2 linked regions of the Drosophila melanogaster genome follow. The protein of the gene in region 1 interacts with the protein of each later gene in a pairwise test. Each region holds a gene or a part of one and is shown on either strand. Other genes may lie near its edges.

Evidence for each region.
Region 2: the proteins of CG9928 (region 1) and Dsk interact in a two-hybrid assay, tested with the Drosophila melanogaster proteins (one large-scale study listed by BioGRID).

What each region holds. Positions count from the first base shown.
Region 1 is NT_033779.5:13,139,396-13,149,631, forward strand, and holds CG9928 (uncharacterized protein), read right to left. Parts: upstream 3,509-10,236; 5' UTR 3,471-3,508; coding exon 3,150-3,470; 3' UTR 3,050-3,149; downstream 1-3,049. Other genes in the region: CG16978 (uncharacterized protein), read right to left, coding at 3,912-4,202.
Region 2 is NT_033777.3:4,185,155-4,195,050, forward strand, and holds Dsk (drosulfakinin), read right to left. Parts: upstream 5,107-9,896; 5' UTR 5,080-5,106; coding exon 4,654-5,079; 3' UTR 4,538-4,653; downstream 1-4,537.

The sequences.
Region 1 (10,236 bases):
CCGCCGACTTGGCTGAGTTATTAATTAGCGAGCTGAGTAAGTGAGGAGCAGTCCGCCTTTCCCCGAGGGCGTTCTCGGATGAGCTGGACTGGCTGCACTTGACTGATCTTCCGCCCCCCCGTCCCAGCCCCACATTCTCTGAGTCAGGCTAAGATTCACGATCGTTTCGGGGCCTTGTCAAAGGTGAGTAATAAGCGGTAGATCGTATATGGCTCGCTGGATGTTTCCACAGAAATTCGCCAAGTTTCGCGGCAAATGCTCACCTTGAACTTGGCCAGACAAGCGAGCAGAGAGATGTTAGTTAGCAATATGAATTTGAGTTTTCCTATCTATTGCCCCCTCAGTTTTGCAGTTGCATCGCGCGCTGCTCAGCGAAGCTGAAAATATTTAAATGCTAAGCTACGTTTTAGAATTTTTTTTACATTTTTTTGTGGCGGCTAAACACAAATATGAATGCGAAATTTGTTTGGCGTTGCGGCTCACCCACGAACTGGTCATGACAATGCCGATGACGATTTTGTTGGCCTGGCCAAAAAGCAGAACCACCACAAAGTAATTACGTCGAAGAGCGAGAGAGAGCTACGGCAGGTTATGCAAGTTCAAGGCTAAAAACTCTGCATTAATTATAATTATTTTTGCATTTGTTAAACGCGAAGGGGCAACAACGACAACAACAATCATCGAGCTGCCTGTGTTAATTGTCTGGGCGAATGCAAAAGAGGAAAAACAGGTAAATGCAGAATTTGTTTTGCTCGAATGTGGTAATTAATTGTGGCCAGCAATCGATGGCAGAATCCCCCAGCCACGGGGGTTAATGCCATTCAAAAGAATCGAACCCCCAAGATCAGTAAATTACTTTGTAACAGAGAGTATGATTAAAAGAAATAAAAACACATATTATTTAAAGACGTAGAAATGAAGTAAACAAGCCAAGGGGATTACCACAAAACTGACCAGTACCGGCGGGACCAGTCTGTCCGTATGAACGTCTTGATCTCAAGAACTATAAAAGCTAGAGAGTTGAGAGCTTCCTAATGTTGCCCACTCTAAAGCCACCCCAAACTGTCTATTGTTTTATTTGTATTTTGTATATTTTAATTGTTTCTCTCTTGTTGTATCAGCAATCGATAACAAGAGAAAGTGCTTCCAACACACGAACTGCAACTTTGTGCCGGGTGTTACAGACTTATTTTTTGTTATCAGCAAAGTATTTGGCACAGAGCCAGTATATCTCATATCATTTGCAGAGATTTGGGATACCCGATAAGCGAGTAAACAAAAGTCTGATAAGCAGCAGTCCAAATTCAATTTGCCCCCCATCGATAAGAAAACGAGGGGACACAAAACCGAAGGGTGACTTAAGCCAGCGATTGCTCTGCCATTATGGGTCTTAAGAGCTAGAACAGGCCATAAAGTAAGCTCTTGGAGGAGGGGATACCACCCATCCATTCAGCCATCCATCCATCCATTTAGTGAGACACAGACGCAGAGTGACATAATAAATAAATTTAATCAGTTGGCTGCGTAAAAGCTCTGCCACTGCTGCTGAATAGAGGGGAAGTGGAAACCCAATCCGAATCCGATTCCGTGGCAGGTTTAACATCTAGTGTCTTTAACTTTGGGATTTACTTTAAGATTGCCGCCGTCTGTGTCATCAGTTCATATTTCGAGTGCTTAGCGCTCATTTCTTTCAATTCCGCCCTTTTTATGACCTCCACCACTGGCATCTCCTCAACTGGCTGGCTTATCTCATTGGAAGCCCGATTCTCATTCCGTTCTTGTGTCTGTCGTTGGGCGTCGAGACAATGTGGCCTTGCCCACGTTGCGTATGCGTAATCAAGTTCTTAAATCCGACTCAAAGGGCAATTGTGTTGTGACACCCAACAAGTTTTCATAGCCGGCAGCTAACATACTTTTTAAATTATTTCACGTACATCATTACGTACTACAGTTTTAATGGCATTATTACCACATTCTATTTACCGCGCAACTCGTCGTGCGAGCTTTCCATGATTTTTCCCCTTTTGGAAATTTACATCCTTTCGGCTATTTGTGTGTTTATTTATGAAGATTAAAGCGCCAATTAAAACACTGATTATATGCGTTAAATGTGGCTGAGAAAACTCTGGGTCTTTAATAAAGTGCGTGGAAAATGGGGTGCGTTTAATACGGGAAACGTTTAAATATAATTGCAATTTTAAAAGAGAAACCTGCTGCTCGTCCTGCGGCAAAAACGCAGCACAATTGTGCGGTTTCCATTATTTACACCTCGAATTCGCTGCTGTAATTGTTATTTGAACGGGGTAAATAATTAGCAAAAGCAATCATTTAAATTTAAGTCAAAATTTAAACGTAAAATTGTTTAATTATACGAATTCAGTCATTGCTGTGTGCGAAGAGAATTTGCATAGTAATTGATTGCATTGTAATCGAAATAATTGATTGTTCCGCTCGATGTTTGTTTTTGATTGATTTGCCGAGATAGAAATTACGCTTTAATGGTGGTAATTAAATTTAGATCTGTTGTATGTTTACAAACAAATATTTTCTATTATTCCATTTTGTTCAAAGGGCAGAAGAAAAATTTAACTACTTTCGGAGGTAAGTTTGCTTAGGTCTTGCGCAACATTTTCTTCTGATTAGCACTGCTTAAAATGTATTCATGATGCGGAAATCGATTTAATTTCTCTCGATAGCCTTCATTTAGTTATAGTTATGTATAACTGGTTAACGCTATGCTGAAGACTGAAATTCGGCTATTAACACAGAACGTTGGTTTAACCATAAAATCGCATAAATATGCTAATTTCTTTTTGTTTTCGTTTTCATCGTAATGGTATTCTAAGCTCAAAATTGGTTTCTTTTTTTTCTACTTATTATTCACCTAATTAGCATAAGCTGTATGATTAAAGATATTTAGAGAGGGGTGCTATTTTAAATCGACAGTAAAAGTGAAAAATTCTCAATGATGAAACAGGCGGAACTGATTTCGAAATGGGTCAAGGCCCATTGGATTTGTTAGATAAGATCAGTTCATAAAATAATAAATACGTTTGTTAAGTAATAAAATCTAAAGCATTTTATAATGCTTATTTCTTAATCTTTTAAAAATTCTTTTATTTAAATTGAGTATTTTAACATCGTAACATTTATCCTATGTGTATAAACTGGAATCCGCGAGCGTCTTCCTTTGAGTCTCCTGCGGATCTATCGGTATCGAATCCAGAATTCCTCACCGCATCGTTGCCCCAATTATTTCTATCATTGCCACTGTTATCCAACGATTCCAGTAGCTTCAGAGTCCTATCGTCATCAGAACTGTGAACACTATCGCTCCAGTCCAAGTTGCCACCTGAAGATCGTGTTCTTCCTCCTTCGCCACCGAGGTTTATATTCTGAAATATACCCGATGCACCGATCGCGGTATAGATTAATCCAAACAGCACCAGCAGTCGGAGAATGGATTGCATTTTTCTTTCGATTAGCTCTGGCTACAGTTGACTGAATGTCAGTCGGCTCTTGAGCTGGGCTTTTATAGCCTTGCCCTGGGTTATCAGCAGTTCTAAGTGGTTGGTTTAAAGGTGATATGTATACTTTTAGACAGAGGTGAGTGCGGGAAATTCCAGCTTAACAGCAACACAGCTTACCACAAGCTTAATTGATATACTAAACGAGCTATTAAATTCAATCTATGACTAGTATTTAATGCGTACTTAAAATCGAAATTGCGGAGTAGGCAACATTCATTATCAAAAAATGAAGATCTCTTGATTCTCTCTTGATTGATTTCATTTTAAAATTTCTAAAAACTTTCTTTTATTTCCCTTAATAATTATTATTGAAGAACTAGATTATTTACAGACAATAGGATAGCATGACTTAGCATTACAGCACTACTAAATAATTCCATATTAAGTAGCCGGTTCGGTGGTAATATCCATAAAATCCAAAGTCGTCTCATCGTCATCAAGACTTGGATAGTCAGTTGAGTTCTCATGAGCTGCATCGTTCTCCTGCCAGCGTCTGATCAGCTCGTCCATTGCATTCATGAACTCTTCGGCACTGTTGTATCCACTGCCAGATTCCTCCAAAGCATCATTGGTACCTTCCGGATCTTCAATAAGGTCGTGCGGATGGCCGGCAATTAGAGCAGCACAAATGATTCCGAATAGGAGAAGCAATGATATGATGCGGCTCATCATGCTGATCAATGCACCGCCGGCAACTGCATAGCCAGATGCAATTTCTTTCGTTTTTATATGGATCGTGTCGGTCAGTAATAAGTTCAATGGAATTCTGGAAAATCCAGTCTGGGCTAAGCCCAAGTGGCAAGCTGCTTCGATTTCCTCATTCATATTTATGCGTTGGGCGGTACTAGAGTCCCCTCTGAATCATCGCAGACCCAGCAAGAGCAAGCATTGCGCATACGACACGTTGCCACTTGCGGATCAACAGTCATGCAAATAAGTCTATGATTAATTCCAAATAATTGCTATGTCTGTTGAGAAAATTCTCGGCCATGCCAATCATCTGTCAGTTACTAGAGTTGTGTTAGTTAGCTGGGTAGTCAGAAAATGTACTCTAAATAAGGGATTATAAACTTAGCAAAGCGACTGTATTTCATCTTTCCTTGTAGGCCGATGTGAGTGCTGCCGGCAACCCTTAAATGACTTGGCTGCCAGCATCGAGCACTTTACTCCGCTTCGTTGCCTCAATCCTTCGTTGGCTCCTCCGGCACTTTATTCAATTTTCCAAAGCGCGCGCACTCAGCTGCCAGTACAACCTCACTTTGCCACCCCAAAAGACGGGAGCCCATCCACGAAAACCTGTGGTAAAAACATGCAATCTACTCACGAGGCTAATGCCCTTTTATGGCATTGGAGTGTGCCGCATCAGCAAAACGGTGCTGAATCGTTGCTGCTGTAGCTGCAGCATTCAACCATCTAACCACCATGCGAACAACACCATTAGATGGGCCACCAGACTCGATTCACGGGGGCTGCAGCTCATTATCCTCCGGGGAAGCAGACGCCCGCCCATTCACCGAATTGCTGGTGGACTTGTCTGCAAATATGTCGCTCATTTGCATCGCCATCATTGGAGTCTAAGACTGCGCCATTGAAATCAAAGTAAGCTGTTACACGGATCGTTTTTAGTCATTTCTAAAACGTTTCAGAAAATTCTTTATATAATATAAAAACTCTGCTGGCAACTGAAATAATAACCACAAATATGTTTTTAATTATTTTAATATCCTCAACTTCAATTCTATAATTAATGTATATTTTAAAAAATTTCAAACTTTTTCTGATGCTTTTGTATATTATGTCGACTTGCTAGCAAATGTCAGTCATTTAAAAATCGCCGCATACCAGCGGCGCAACAAATCAAAGTTGGTTTTGAGTTTTGTTTAGTGGTTTTTAAGCCGACATGAATACCCACTTCTAGGTGTATAGAACCTTAGCAAGTGCCATTAAAAAGATACAACTGAAATAGCCCAGGCACTCCGGCATAAAAGTACGACAGTCAGTCAAATTAACATTTCAGTCACACAATGACCTTCACCTAGAAGCCATCAAAGCGTACCCAAACGACGGCCCAGCCCTAGCCCCAAATCCCCTGGCTTCACCGGAGTCCAAAGCCAAAACCAACTTCAACGCAACGCGACCAAATAACATAAAAACCAAAGTCAATCAAAAAAAAGAGGAGGAAAATAAATATTTTTCAGCCAATGTCTAAATACCCTTTTCGAAGCTTCAATGATCAATATCATTGATAATACTGAAGTTGTAAAAATAACTCGATTTTAATTATGACCAAAAATGACATCTAATCGTTTAAATTTTCTTCATATATACCTTAAGCTTGTGGGTATATTTTTCAGTGTTACAAACCTCTTTCAAAAATCGAAGAACCCCCTGGAAAGGTAACCACAAATATATGAAAAACGAGACAAAGTCAAAGCTGGCTTTTGCTCAGTCGGTCGCGTAATTTTGTTTTCGTAGCCACTTGATTAGCACGCTCTGAGCCATGTTTAAACGTGGGCTGTTTAGCCAAACGGCAGCCGATACGCCCGACCTGGTCAAAAGCGTACCGTCCAATAGCAGCGATGGCAACAAAAAGAGCTCCAATATCGGCGAACAGAATTCAGCTAAAGACCGCACTAAAGACTTTGACGCAAAAAACGTGCGAGTACGTGCCGCTGATTAGTAAAACAAACAAATTAAATTGGTCTCTACTTTATGCCCGATTTTCTTCTATTTTTCGTCTTACGACTTTTGGCTAAGAGCTATACCAAAGAGCTGTTTTGGCTCAAAGAGATTTATAAACTTTTCAAAGAGAAGCCAAGAGAAGTCAATTAAAACAGATGTTATAGTTTTAAACAATATATTCTCTTAAATAAAAGTATCAACCATCATATAATTTATCTATAATTGCTGGTCTTTAAAAGCCAGGTTAATGTAAAAAATTCCCATTTCCAATGCATCAAGTGGTTCTTGTTCGTGATATTTATAATTCATATTTAAAAGATTAGCTCTTTTGACCATCAAGGTCCACCACAAATCGATTTGATCTTTGCGACTACTGGTCTTGGCTTATTTGCAGGCATGGCACCTGCTACTGGCCAACAGATCTATGAGTTAAAATGAATATTTATATAAGAATGGATTGCATTGTCATGAGTAGGCAAACGTCTCGCATTCTTGGCTTTATTACTTGGCCCGTGGAGAAGGAGAGTCAGGTTTGTTAATCCATGCCGAATCAATATGCAGGTCGCGGCTTTGACTCAATTCTTATTTTGCCCGATACGTCATTATAAACCGCAGTTGTTTTCGGTTGGCGAGGGGGTTTACTTGGGCTAAGCCCATTACTGGACACCAGTTGGATAACTGCTGTCGATGCTGCTGGTCTTACACCGTAAAAAGTTAGATGGCCCAATTAAAACAAGCAAATGTTGCTAAGGAAATAGTCTAACAAAAATGTTAGAAAGTAAGGATTTTTAAAATATGAGTTTATTAAATATAAATTTATTTTATAAAATACATCTATAAGATATAAGATTTATTATATATATACTTAAGCAAGTTACCCATAATGATCCTCTAATGTTTTTCTACCCATATCAATTGCAGTATTTACCCCATAGCACTACCCTTTTTTATTTTCAGTGTACTGCTCCCACTGTTGCATTGTTCTCGGTGGCGTTCTTAACGAGCGCAGCATGCAAAACAAGGCGCAAGACGCCATTTGGCTAACAGAAACACACAGAGGGAATCGCAGAATCGTTTTTATGGCCGCTGCGCCCCCTGAATGATAATGATAATCGAGTCCCAACTGGGTGAATCTCTGGCTTCGCCCTGTCCACCGGACAGTGCAGTCCAGCCAAGTCGATTCTGGTTGCCTCTGTGAATTTTTCTGCCTGATTGTGCGCACGCGCTCATAATCAAAGAGCCTTCTCCTCCCAAACCCGCCAACTTGGCCAACTCGCTGCTGGGCTGGCCTTTTATGATGGATGGAGCGTTGGCGAGCGATTCGCCTTGACGTTGATGCGCCATCAAGGAAAATTATTGCGTGCGCGCAATTAAAACTAAAATAAAGTTGCAAAAATATGAATCCAAATTTGCATATACCAAAAAAAAAGTGCATCTACATCTGGACAATGCAACCACATCAAGCGGATGAGTCAGTGGCGGTTTGAGCGACTTCCGATTGTATTGCTTAAATGTTCGAAAAAAGTATTTAAATTCTTTTTGAACTTCAAGTATGATTTTGTTTAGATATTGGTTTTGGTATTGTCACGTTTTTAAGAAAGATATATCTCATACAATAATTTAATATATATATATTTTATATAATATATATTTTATATATGGTATATAAGTATTCTATTTCAATGTGTTAACAATCAGAAAAATCCATTAAAATTGCACATTTACCATTTAAACCCATTTTGACTTCTTTCGCATGAAAAATACTCCCTTCATTTAACAATTTACATTGATAGCTTTAATCTCATCACGTTTCAGTTGAATGAAAGGCTTTAAATATTTCGTATTGTTGTGCAATGGACTTTTCTGCTGAATCTTTTAAACATTGCTGATTCAATTTGGCGTGTCTGTTCGAACATTTTATAAAATAGTTCGGCAATGGAGCGCACAGCTTTGGTTTTTGGTTTCAAAACTTATAAAGGTTTTGCGTATATTTATTGTATTTTTAACGTGACGCATGGGGAAAATGTATCCCTTCCTGTGGAGCGGAAGCCCTTTTCGTTCGGTGACAAAAAAAAGTGGCGACATGGGGCAGCCCAAAATCATCGGACTCCGGCGCTTAACAGCGACATTGTTGATATATCTGGACACTTGGATCGCTATGTTTCTGCCACGATATGTTGCCAGTACCATACATATAGCACCAGCACGATACATATATATATCAAACGAACCCTGTTTGAGTGTAAATTTGTGTTTATTTGCCGGTTTCGCTTTTGAATTTATGGTTGGGAGTAAAGTGGCGATGTTGGAGAACTGCCAAACAAGCCTGAAAAGTTGACAGCGATGCTTTTTGTCTATAAGACATATATATGGGGAAATTTTTGAACCTGGCTTTTAACTAACTCATATCCAGTCTCTTTGTGCATCTTTTTTTGTTCAACTATAAGGATTATAGCTGACTAACTAAAGCTAAACATTATTCTCCTATAACTATGTCCCATCTTGCCATTTTGTTTTGAACTTCCAAAAACACTACTTTAATATGTATTTCGCTTGAATTTTAGGTTCAAGAAATATTATCTGCATCTTTTCTACTACTTTCAATTATTTACGTTTAAATTGAATTAAGTGCCAAAATTCGCCTCCCCAGCAATTGTTGTCTTTTGCGTCACAAGATCTCCGGGAAAATGTACATGCCAATATACATATATATACATATTTATATACATATCTTGCCGGCAATCAAATTATAGAGCAATTCGAGACAAGTCAAGACCACTTTTGGCTGTCAATATTTCATATTATTATCGATTTTGTAACCAAGTACACACCGAAAGCGGTACAAAATCATAATACATTCTGGCCTGGGCCACTAAAGATAGATATCTGGCAAAACATATTGGCGCAGTAACAATATTTTGCTTTCCAGGCCAAGCTTCAAATGACCGAATGCCCAAATGACTGACTGGGTAACTGACTGAATGACTGACTGACTCTGGATGACTGACTGGCATCAAAAACTAAGGGGAATACATTGAGCCTGTTTATCAGCAGCCTTAGTTTCAGCATCAACAACGACCAAAAGCCGGAGGCGAAGCACGCGTTCTCCAAATATTTATGAGCCGCAAAAACAGAAGGAGGACGACCGAATCGGGGTGTGGATTGTGGGGGGGGGAGTGGCCAGGGGGACTTTTGGCCAAGTGATTTACCGACTGAGCTTCAAGTAGCCGCAGCAGCTGTCAATCAGCCTGCAATCAGCCTCCACTTTAAGCCTATAAAAACGTCTGCAGTTAGCGGTAAAGCAAAGCCAAGACCCACCAAAAAAAAAATAAATATATACAAAAAATATATGTATAAATATATTTAAGCCAAAAAGTAAAAGTGGCTTACGGTAAAACCATATTCGACAACAAGAATTTCATACATTTCATATTGCGCCGCACCCAAGATGAAATCCATGAAATGGAGACGCGTCCCAAGTGTGCAAAGACAATTAGTGACCTCAAAAACGTTTTGCAGTTAAAGATTTTTACCCTGCAGTTGATCTTTTATGAACGATATGGCAGTGGGCCCTCACAATATTGTCGGCTGCATTTAGTTAATGAGATCTTAAACATTGACGGGCCGGATTTTCACTTCTCTTATGGCCAAGAAAACGTGATCGCAGGCCCAAAGTGCTAAATGGCCCTCAAGAAATTTTTATATGAAATATTTAAGAAAAGCTATATTATATTATATTTTTCATATGCTTTATACATTTTTATACCATATTTGTAGATACATTTCTACATATATTGATATTTTCAATTGCAGGCAAAGAGTTCTTGTAAACCAAGTACATTTTCGAATACCATATAATTTTAAAAATTGTAATAGTTTATATCTGTTACGTATTTTGTGAAATTAAACTTTAGGATATTACTCACATATTTGGCAGGGTGTGGTTGGGCACTTGGTTCCCCGAAGAATGGTCATCCAATTTGGGTATCGGTCACGCGGGCAATTTCTACCTGGCCAAAAAATA
Region 2 (9,896 bases), on another chromosome or scaffold:
ATAGAAATTGGCAAGACAAACAATAAAGCGAAGAAGAATTAAAACATTTTTTTATTGCAAATTGATAGAAATTTTCATAATTAATATAAATATGAATAAATATCAATACATTTTTCAGAAAAGCGGGCGTGTTGACGTAAGAGGGGGTGTGGTTAAAAGTTTTTTTTGCTAATCGATAGAAATTTAAAAGATAATAAAAATTATTATATAATATAATTAATAAAATTAATAATTAAAAGTGGCAGTTCTGGACGATTTGTGGGCTTGGCAATATTTGGAAACAAACTTGAGCTGCTTCTAGCTTTTATTGTTCCTGAGATGTCGTTTAATACGGATGAACAGATAGCTATTTTTGTAAAATACAATTTTGCTTTTTGTTTTATTATACCCTTTAGTAAGAGCGTATACTAAATTCGTTGAAAACTGTTTAACAGGTAGATGGAAGCGTTTTCGACCATATAAAATATACATATATACTATTGATCAATATCAATACCCGAGTCGATCTGGCCAAAGACGCTAGAATAACTAGTGTCTTTGACCTGGCCCTGTCCGTTTGTCTGTTCGTCCGTATTAACGTCGAAATCTCAGGTGTTGCCATGCACACTCTAACGACAAAAAACTCTCCAAAACTGACACATACCGCCCAAAACGGCCATGCCTACACCTTAGAAATTATTTTTTATATTTATATAAATAAATTTCGCGTTCGCATTTCCACTGTCGGAGAAATGGGACTGAAAGCATACAAGTAATTATACGATTTGGGATAAATTTCCTACTCGTCCAGGAATGCATTTTCTTAGCCTAAAGAACTTTGTGACCGTTACATAGTCAGATAGGGTATCATTATATTCTACACACTAAATCGTTTATTTACGGTATCTCATGGATTCATAATTACAAGAGAGCGCACACACTTATTTCATAAACCTAATAAGGCACAACTATTCATTTATGTTGAGTTGAGCTCCGTTGAAATATTCTTCCACTATCTTCTCAATCTTATTCTAGAGACATAAGCGCTGCTCAAATTTTTTTTCAAATGTTGCCACGCCCATAAACCGCCCAGGACTGCCACGCTCACAATTTCGAAAAATATTTTGATAAATAAATAAATTTGTAAATTTCTATCGATTAGCAACAAAAAAAAACGTTTTGCCACGCCCACAATTATGCCCACAAACATCCCAGAACTGCCACGCTAAACATTTTTGAAGTTTTTTTATATATATTTTGACACTTTTTTTACCCAAAAAACGTTTAGCCACGTCCACTCTAACGCCCACTTACCGCCCAAAACTGGCACGCCCACATTGTCATGTCTTGTGTTGCCAACTTCTATCACTATACAAAAAGCACATTGGCCACGCCTCTCTATACACCTACAAAACGACCCAAATGGTCCCGCCCAGACTTTTGAACAATTTGAAACATATTTTTCTCATTTTATACCCCTATATTTCCAAGAAATTATCAAATTTCGCGTACGCATTTCCACTCGTTGAGTAACGGGTATCTGATGGTCGGTGAACTCGACTATAGCATTATCTCTGTTAATATCCAGAAAAAGAACGAAAATAAATATAATATCTACAAATAAATACTTTGTTAAGAATAAAGTATTTTAGGGAGGTTGACCATATATTCTTATAATCCGGGAAACTCCGCAGCACATCTGACTTCTCTTATTGAGCAGTGTGCTCACTTCACAGCCTTCCAGACCCACTGGACTTGGATTACACTCATGACTTGGCTGAAAGCTACGACTGGGCTGTACACATAATTCTCTGCAAGTGTGTGCGTTTGCCTATCGGTGTAGTAGTAGCCTAGACTACACTTTATGGACAAACTCGCTGATACTTTCCTTTGTGCTGCAAATTTTGTGCTTGGTGTTGGTATCAACCTCTATGTGTAGAGACTGTGTGTGTGTGGTTGAATATGTGGAATGCGGACAATCCGGTCAGCATTCTTTGCAAAAGCGATTAGCAAAACCGGTAAGAGGAGGCGTCAAGCACTTGGCGCTCATTTCATGAGTTTGCAGCGGAAAGACTTCCGGAAGGTGAAACACAAAGAATATAACTTAAACTAAACTTAAGGTCTTAAGTAACGTCTTCTCTACACATTTACTTCCAGCACAAATATGTATAATATTTTCAAGTAAAAAACGCCACCTGTTTCAAAATGGCGACATCTGTTGATAATTTAAATACAAATGTATATAAGTTCTCCATGTTATTGTCGTCCATTCTGTCTGTGCGTATTAAAGCTACAACCAAGCTTGTCTGTCTCCATTGAAGCTTTCAAGGCTCTCCCCCATGAAGTTATTTACAAAGCTCGGGTGGAAAGCTTGCAAGTCTTTAACGCGCTTTCTACATATTCAGCAATACTGAGTCTCTGTAGTAAAACGGAGTCCGCTTATCACGGACGATACTCATTTATAAGAGTGTATAGAAATAAAAATGAGCTGTGGTTGACTAATTTTAACGAGTGAACCCAATCGGAATATAGCAGTATATACAGTACATACAAGTTATACAGTATATACAAGTTAGAACTTAGATACATATGTACAGCTGTGTTCAGAAAAATAGCAGTGCGAAGGAAATTAAGTAATACAAAGGTATTTTTCCATGTCCCTTTTCGGAATTGACTTTTTATTCCACTTATTTTTGTTAAATGGAATGTGTAGATAAGGAAAAAAAGAAAATCCGGTTAGTTTTTCATGTTATCCTTTTTTTATTTGCATTCTTGAGCAAAATCGCAATTTTTAGGCTGTTCATAAGAATAGCAGTGCCTGGTTTTGACCAACGTAAAGTTCCGAAATGATCATTATTTTCTAAAAAGTGAGTTTGGATAAGTTAATTCGTATATTTAAAAGGGCAATTAATTAAAAAAAAAATAAAAATTATATTTTAGTGGATAGAGGACAGCACTGCTCCCAGCAGAAAATAATGTAAATTCATAAGCTAAGAAAGGAAGGAAAAACATAAAGGGACATTCAAAAAACCCTTGAATGTTTTCCAAAATGGTATCCAATGCCATTAAATATGAATGGAAGCCCGAAACCCGTGGTACCAAACAAAAAACCACAGATATAGAGGATCGACGCATAGTTCGTTAGAGCAACGCCTATCCTTTTGCATCCTCTAGGGACATAAAGTCTGAGCTGAACTTGGGAATCAGTGACGTTACTATTCGGAGACGACTACTGAATCAAAATTTCAGTGCGAGGAGTCCAAGAAAGGTTCCCCCACTTAGCCCAAGGCTTATTCAGGCAAGGTTCACCTTCGCTAAAACCTACCGAAACTGGCCAGTCTGCAAATGGCGTAATATCCTTTGGACTGATCGGTCAAAAATAGTGCTATTTGGTGGAACTGGTTCACTACAGTATATCTGACGACCTCCAAACACCGAGTACCACCCAAAACACCCACTGAAGACTTTCAATCACGGTGGACCTAAAATCCTGGTATGGGCTTGTTTTTTTTTACAATGGTATGAGTCCATAACATATGATTTATGGTATTATAGACCAAAACGCATATGTAAATATACTTAGAGATGTCTTACTGTAATATTCTGAATATAATATGCCCTTAAAATGGACATTCCAACAGGATAATGATCCGAAACGCAGATGCAAGTCGGCTAGGAATAGGTTCACCCAAAATAGAATAGATGCAATGCCGTGGCAAGCACCATCTTCCGATTTAAACCCGATTGAAAACCTGTAGGGGGACATTAAACAATATGTGTCGAAGAAGTCCCCGACGTCTAAGGCTCAGATTTGGCAAGTTGTCCAGGATGCATGGGCAAAAATTCCTCCCAAACGTTGCCAGGACCTGGTGGACTCCATGTCGCGTGGGTGTAAGGCTGTGCTGGCTAACAAAGGCTTTCCAGCCAAGTATTAGGCCCGAATTAACATATTAAAAAGAAAAACTAAGTTCGTTTCTAAGTCAAGTTTAATTTTGTTACTATTTTTTCATAGCACTGCTATTTCATTGAACACCAGAATTTCTGCCTATTATGTTGTTTTATTCTATATTTTCGAAACTATTGAAGAAATAAAAGTGAAACATTTGTTAAATTGTTTGAAATTAAATACCTAATGATATTATAAAAAAAAATTTCCCATTAAAACTGTAAATCATAGGAAATTTTTATCTTAAACTCTCAAGTCCAAAGCACTGCTATTTTTCTGAACACAGCTGTATATAAATGGGCCTAAGGGAAACATACATCAACGACAATAATTCTTGTTAAGTAAATCCGATGCGTCTTTAAAAGGTATTCACAATTCGAAAGTCGGAGAACCTTTCAAATGCTTTCGTCACAAATAATTAAATAAAACTTTTTATATATTGAAGGTGCAGCCCTTTTTTTATATACCGGATAAATGGAGGCTTTTTACCGCGGTGATAAATTCTGCTAGGAATCAATACACCTATATGCAAGGGACTAAAAATCCTTTTTTCAATGAATCCATCATAGCTTACTCTAAGAATTCGGCTATAATACGAAATATTAAATTTTTGAATGCGAACATTTATTACTTTTTATATACTTGTTAATATAAAATGTGTGCTCGATTAATTTCTATGTACAATATACATAATCGGTTTTCTAAATGACTAAACTGATGGCAAGTGTTTATCGGCCGAAACGCATGTGACCGTAGTCATCGAACTGATCATCACCTCCCCTTTTACCAAACCTCATATGGCCGTAATCATCAAACCGCTTAGCTTTCGTTCTTTCGTCATCATTATCCATGAGGAGATCCAGCTCAATTGGTATTATTGGGCGTGAAATTAGTGGCACTCTGCGACCGAAGCTCATTGTTTTCTGATTACGCCTGTCCCCGAATAGAGAGAATGATGGTCCAACTAAATTCGCAATGGGCTGATCGATTTCCCCACCAATTTTTGACTCCAATTCCTGTAGTCGCCGATCATCCTTAGCGTTCTGTAGACTAGTCGTCTGCGCTGGGATCGGCAGCACCACCAGGAAGCAGAAGGCTAATGCCCAGAGTGGCATAAACAGCGTGGCGAAGTGCGTACAGCTTCTAGGTCCCATGCTTTACTGTGCCCTTGGCAGACTGGTGAACATCTAAGTTGGCGCTTCCTTTTTATACGATTGCGTTTGTGGCCATCTTTCTCGCCTGTTTAATATTCCGTTACCGCGGCTGTCAAGTGTTTAGAGGTGTTGAGATAACAGAAATTGACTTTGACTTGTGATTGACTTGATTGATTAAACTAACTTTGATGCTGTCCTGACAATAATTGAATTCGACGGCATGCCTAAAAGAATTAAGTATGATGAGTAACCGTCTGTATTAGGGCGCTGGGCGAGTATACTCTAGTGGTTTTCTGAAACATTCTTCAGCATAATATCAGGGGGCTAGTAGCTGTGCCAGACAAACAATTTTAAATAAAAAGCGCATATCCATGGTTAAATTTAATATTCGGAAATACATTCTGATTCAAATTTTTATAAATTTGCCAGCAAAGAAGTGTGAGCTAGTGTGAGACTTACAGATATGTTCAGAAGATATTTCTTTTTAAATTTTAAAAGCTGTTGCGAATAGAATATACTATTGTCTTTGGTTAAACTGAGCTGTGAACCATTGTATATGGGCATGAGGTTGACAGTGCTGATCTGAACCAAATCCAAATGCGAAATTCAAAAGGGAGGTTTTTTAACGGATATGCCTATGATTCCAACTGATATTAACACGATACCCATCAGCAAAGCCCAAACAAGCATTTCTTGTTTGTAATGTGAATTTGAAAATCATGTATATTACATGGGCATTACCATTGGACATGTAGACTCTTGTGACCCCTACACACCCGCATGCTGACCAAAACTGCAATGGCTACACATTTGAAAGGCTAGTATACCCTATAAAGTATGTAAAATGCCGAAGGCCTTTTCCGACCATTTGAAGTATATATTTTTTGATCAGGATCAATAGCCGAGTCGATCTGACCCTGTCCGTCCGATTGCTCCGAAACTTTCGTCATGAAATTTAAGTAAAAGCCTATCGATTATAGTTATTTTCTTTTCTCATTACTTATTCGATGAACCCATTAATCGATAGCTTTTACCACATTTTGTCGACTTGTTACTTCGAGGTCGACAAAGTCTTCAACCGGCAGTTCTCACTTGGGAGCGGTATCGTTCGTTCAAAAAACAAAACAGTGTGACGGTGAGACCGACCATTAGATTTCAATAAGACAAACAACGCGTTTTTATGGTCGGAATACATACCTTATTTGTGCTTATATTGTTTATCCCCAATAACTTTGCGAAAACCATTCTTGTCGAAGAGCTTACAAAATGGACATTGAGAAATAAGACCTCCTATAAGTGCCGGGTAATTTATCTGAAGATTCTGCTTATGATACCCGTTGCCTACATTCTGAACGTATTCGTTAATGATATTAAGTTAAGCTTATCAATGCTTATCTACGTTCCAAGAACTGTTAGAATCTGATTTAGTAGAAACCTATGAAAAAAGAGTTAATAGAAGTTAAAAAAGTTAATAGAAAAGAGTCGTCTCTACTGATTGCACATCTGTCGCACTTCAGTTATTTGAGTAAGCGGTATCTAATAGTCGCGGCACTCTACGGAAGTACATACATATATATACACTAGTGGGCATAAGTATTTGGACAAGAAATATTTTCAATATATTTGTTTGTAACTTATTGTTTACTTAAAGCAAAATTGTTTAATAATTTTAGTAAATAGGTAGGCTATCGTAGTTAAATGTAGAGGTAACATAAACATATGGATAACTTCATTGTTGATTTAACAAAAATCACTTTCTTACAAATTAGCAATGGCATAAGTATTTGGGCAAATTATTTAAATTTTATAAATTGAAAAAAAATTATGACAAATTAATAAAAAAATATACCCTCCCTTAGCGTCACCTTTTGCAGACGTTTTGGTACAGACTGTACCAAGCTGTGGATATAATCTATTGAAATATAAGGTTTGAATTTCCAAAATCGTTTCTTCGCGACTTCTAGATAAGTTTGCACTCCTTTTTCTTTTTAAATATGACCAGAGGTTTTCTATTATGTTGAGGTCTGGACTTTGACGTGGCCAATCCAATGTGTTTACGCCAACATCTTTCAGTAACTTCGTAATCAGTTTGGCCTTATGCCAGGGAGCAATATCCTGCTGGTGTATGAAGGACTCTCCAATCAATTTATCACCAGAGGGGAATGCATGATTATTAAGGACATCTAAATATTTTCCTTGATTCATGGTTCCATCAACAGGAACCAAATCTCCCAAGCCAGTGAAGGCTACGCATCCCCAAAACATAACAGACCCTCCTGAATGATTTACTCTCTGACATACTGGTGCCACTTTTTTCCGATATTGTTTCGGTAATCTAAAAAAAAAAATTTTTTTGAGCAATGAAACTTAAAAGTGGTTTTATCGCTCCACAAAACATTTTTCCAGAATGATGCAGGCTGACCAACATATTTTTTGGCACAGTCGAGGCCAATAGTTTACTTATTTATTTGACTGTACTATGAAAAGCATAGCCCGGCAGTTGCAAGCTAATGGTGTCTAAATACTTATGCCCACTAGTGTATAAGTTAACAACTCATAACATAATAATTCATAGCAACTAAGTAGCTCTATATGAAGAATGCTGTAGCGCCAGAATTGTGTTCAGTGCTCTGCGCAAAGAACGTCCGGCAACGGAAAGCTGTAACTTCTTATTCGGAGTGTTGCTTCACGCTGCAAGGAATGCTGAGTCGGCTTTGCCGACTCGTCTTGGTGGCGCAATGCATTGCTGTTAGGGTAAACTTAGCTCCATGTTTTGTCAACTCTTTAGTCTCAGTTTTGTGTCCAAATAAATCAGAACGTGCTCCGGCTTACAGCCGCAAATAATAATTGTACTTATTATCTACATTGCTACGCCACAAGGCTAGTCAATAAACCTAAGGGGGCGAAGTCAAGCCCTCCAACGTAATCTTCAGAAGACTCTGCCATATCTGTCCGCATATTAATCTGTATGTATGAGCGTCGAGATTTTGTTTAGATCTTAGAAACTAAAGGCCAGAAAGTTTTGATTAAACATGCATATATGCATATGTCAGAGACATAAACGCAGCTCAAGCTATGCAGATAATATCCCCTAAGATAGTCTTGAAAATGTTAGATCCAGAGACTCTCTAGTTGTTCTGTTTTGCTACGAGGAAGAAGTCGCCTAGAGTGTTCATACATGTTTTTTTACTCGTAGAGTGAAAAAGGCATTTCAGACCATATGAAGTATATACATGTATGTATATTCTTGATCAGGATCAATAGCCGAGTCGATCTGGCCATGTACGTCTGTCCGTATACACGTCGACATCTCAGGAACTATAAAAGCTTGAAGGTTAAGATACAATAGTTGAACATACAGATTCTAGAAACATAGATACGGCGCAAGTTTGTTGAGACACGTTGTGACGCCCCACTATAATGCCCACATACTGCCCAAAACTGCCCCGCCCACACTTTTGAAAAAAGTTTTCATATTTTTTGATCTTTGTGTTAGTTTTGTAAATTTCTATCGATACGCCAACAAACTTTTTGCTACACTGACTAAAAATAGTTTTAATTTTTGCCTTTTAAATATTATATAGTCTTTTAAAAATTATCGATAAAACTTTTTGCCATGTCCACTTACTCCCCAAAACTGTCACTCCCACACATTTTAAAAATGTTTTAATATTTTTGTTATATTTTATTAGATATTGAAAATTCCTATCATTTTGCCAAATAACTTTTTGCCTCGCCGACGCTAACGCCCACAAATTACCCAACATATTTCATTATATTCTCCAATATCTATCGATAGATGAGGGAACGGGTATCTGATAGTCGGGAACTCGACTATAGCACTCTATCTGGTTTTTAATTTATCTTCCTAATTGCTACGGTCTTGCCGTAAACCAAAGCGTCCCCTGTAGAGTTTAGGGTCCTAGATATAACGTTACCTTTTGTTTTGGTCTTAAAATATGTAAAAACTAATCTTATTGAATTTAGACAATGGCAGAACCTTTTTTTCGGGTCAATTGCCATCCCATATTCATGAAAGGAGCGAATTATGTACCAGCCCACACACTTCCGGAGTTATCGGCCGATGCCGATGCGGGTAAGTATATATACCTAATGGCAGCAGAAATAAATTAGCTTATTATACGAAATCCAATTAAGTCGCACATTTGCTTAAGTCCGCAAACGAGGCCAATATGAACATGATACGCGTTTGGGGTGGCGGCCTTTATGAGTCGGATACCTTCTACAACTTAGCGGACTTTTACGGACTATTGGTGTGGCAGGACCTGGCGTTTTCTCAAGCAGCATACCCGCTAGCAAATGACTTTGTAGCTTCTGTGTGCGTTGAGACAGTACAGAATGCACAGCGTCTTTCTTATCATCCAAGTTTAGCCCTAATAGTCACCAACAATGAGATTGAGCTATTCCTGTCAAGCAACAAATCTGATTTTGGAGAAAACGCCACTAGAATGGATAGTGATTACAAAGCCTTGTTTATTGAAACATTAATTCAAGAGTTAAACGTTATCTCTCGTAAAGATTTTAGTCCTCGCCCTGACCCCATGGCCTCTACGCCTTCATTAGGTGTTCAGGAGTCTGGCAAAAACCTCTCCAACAACCCGCAAAGCTTACAGGTGATGGTGAGTCTGCTTTTCACAAATTTATTCCTGGAAATTCTCCGTCTACGTCTATTTTACCTTTGTTTTTTATTTTAGTGCACTTTTGGGACGACAAAGATGGATTCAGCCCTGAAACGTATCCAAACGCTTTGTTTCGGAATTCGGTTACTCTAGCCTTCCAATGAAATCAACGTGGCA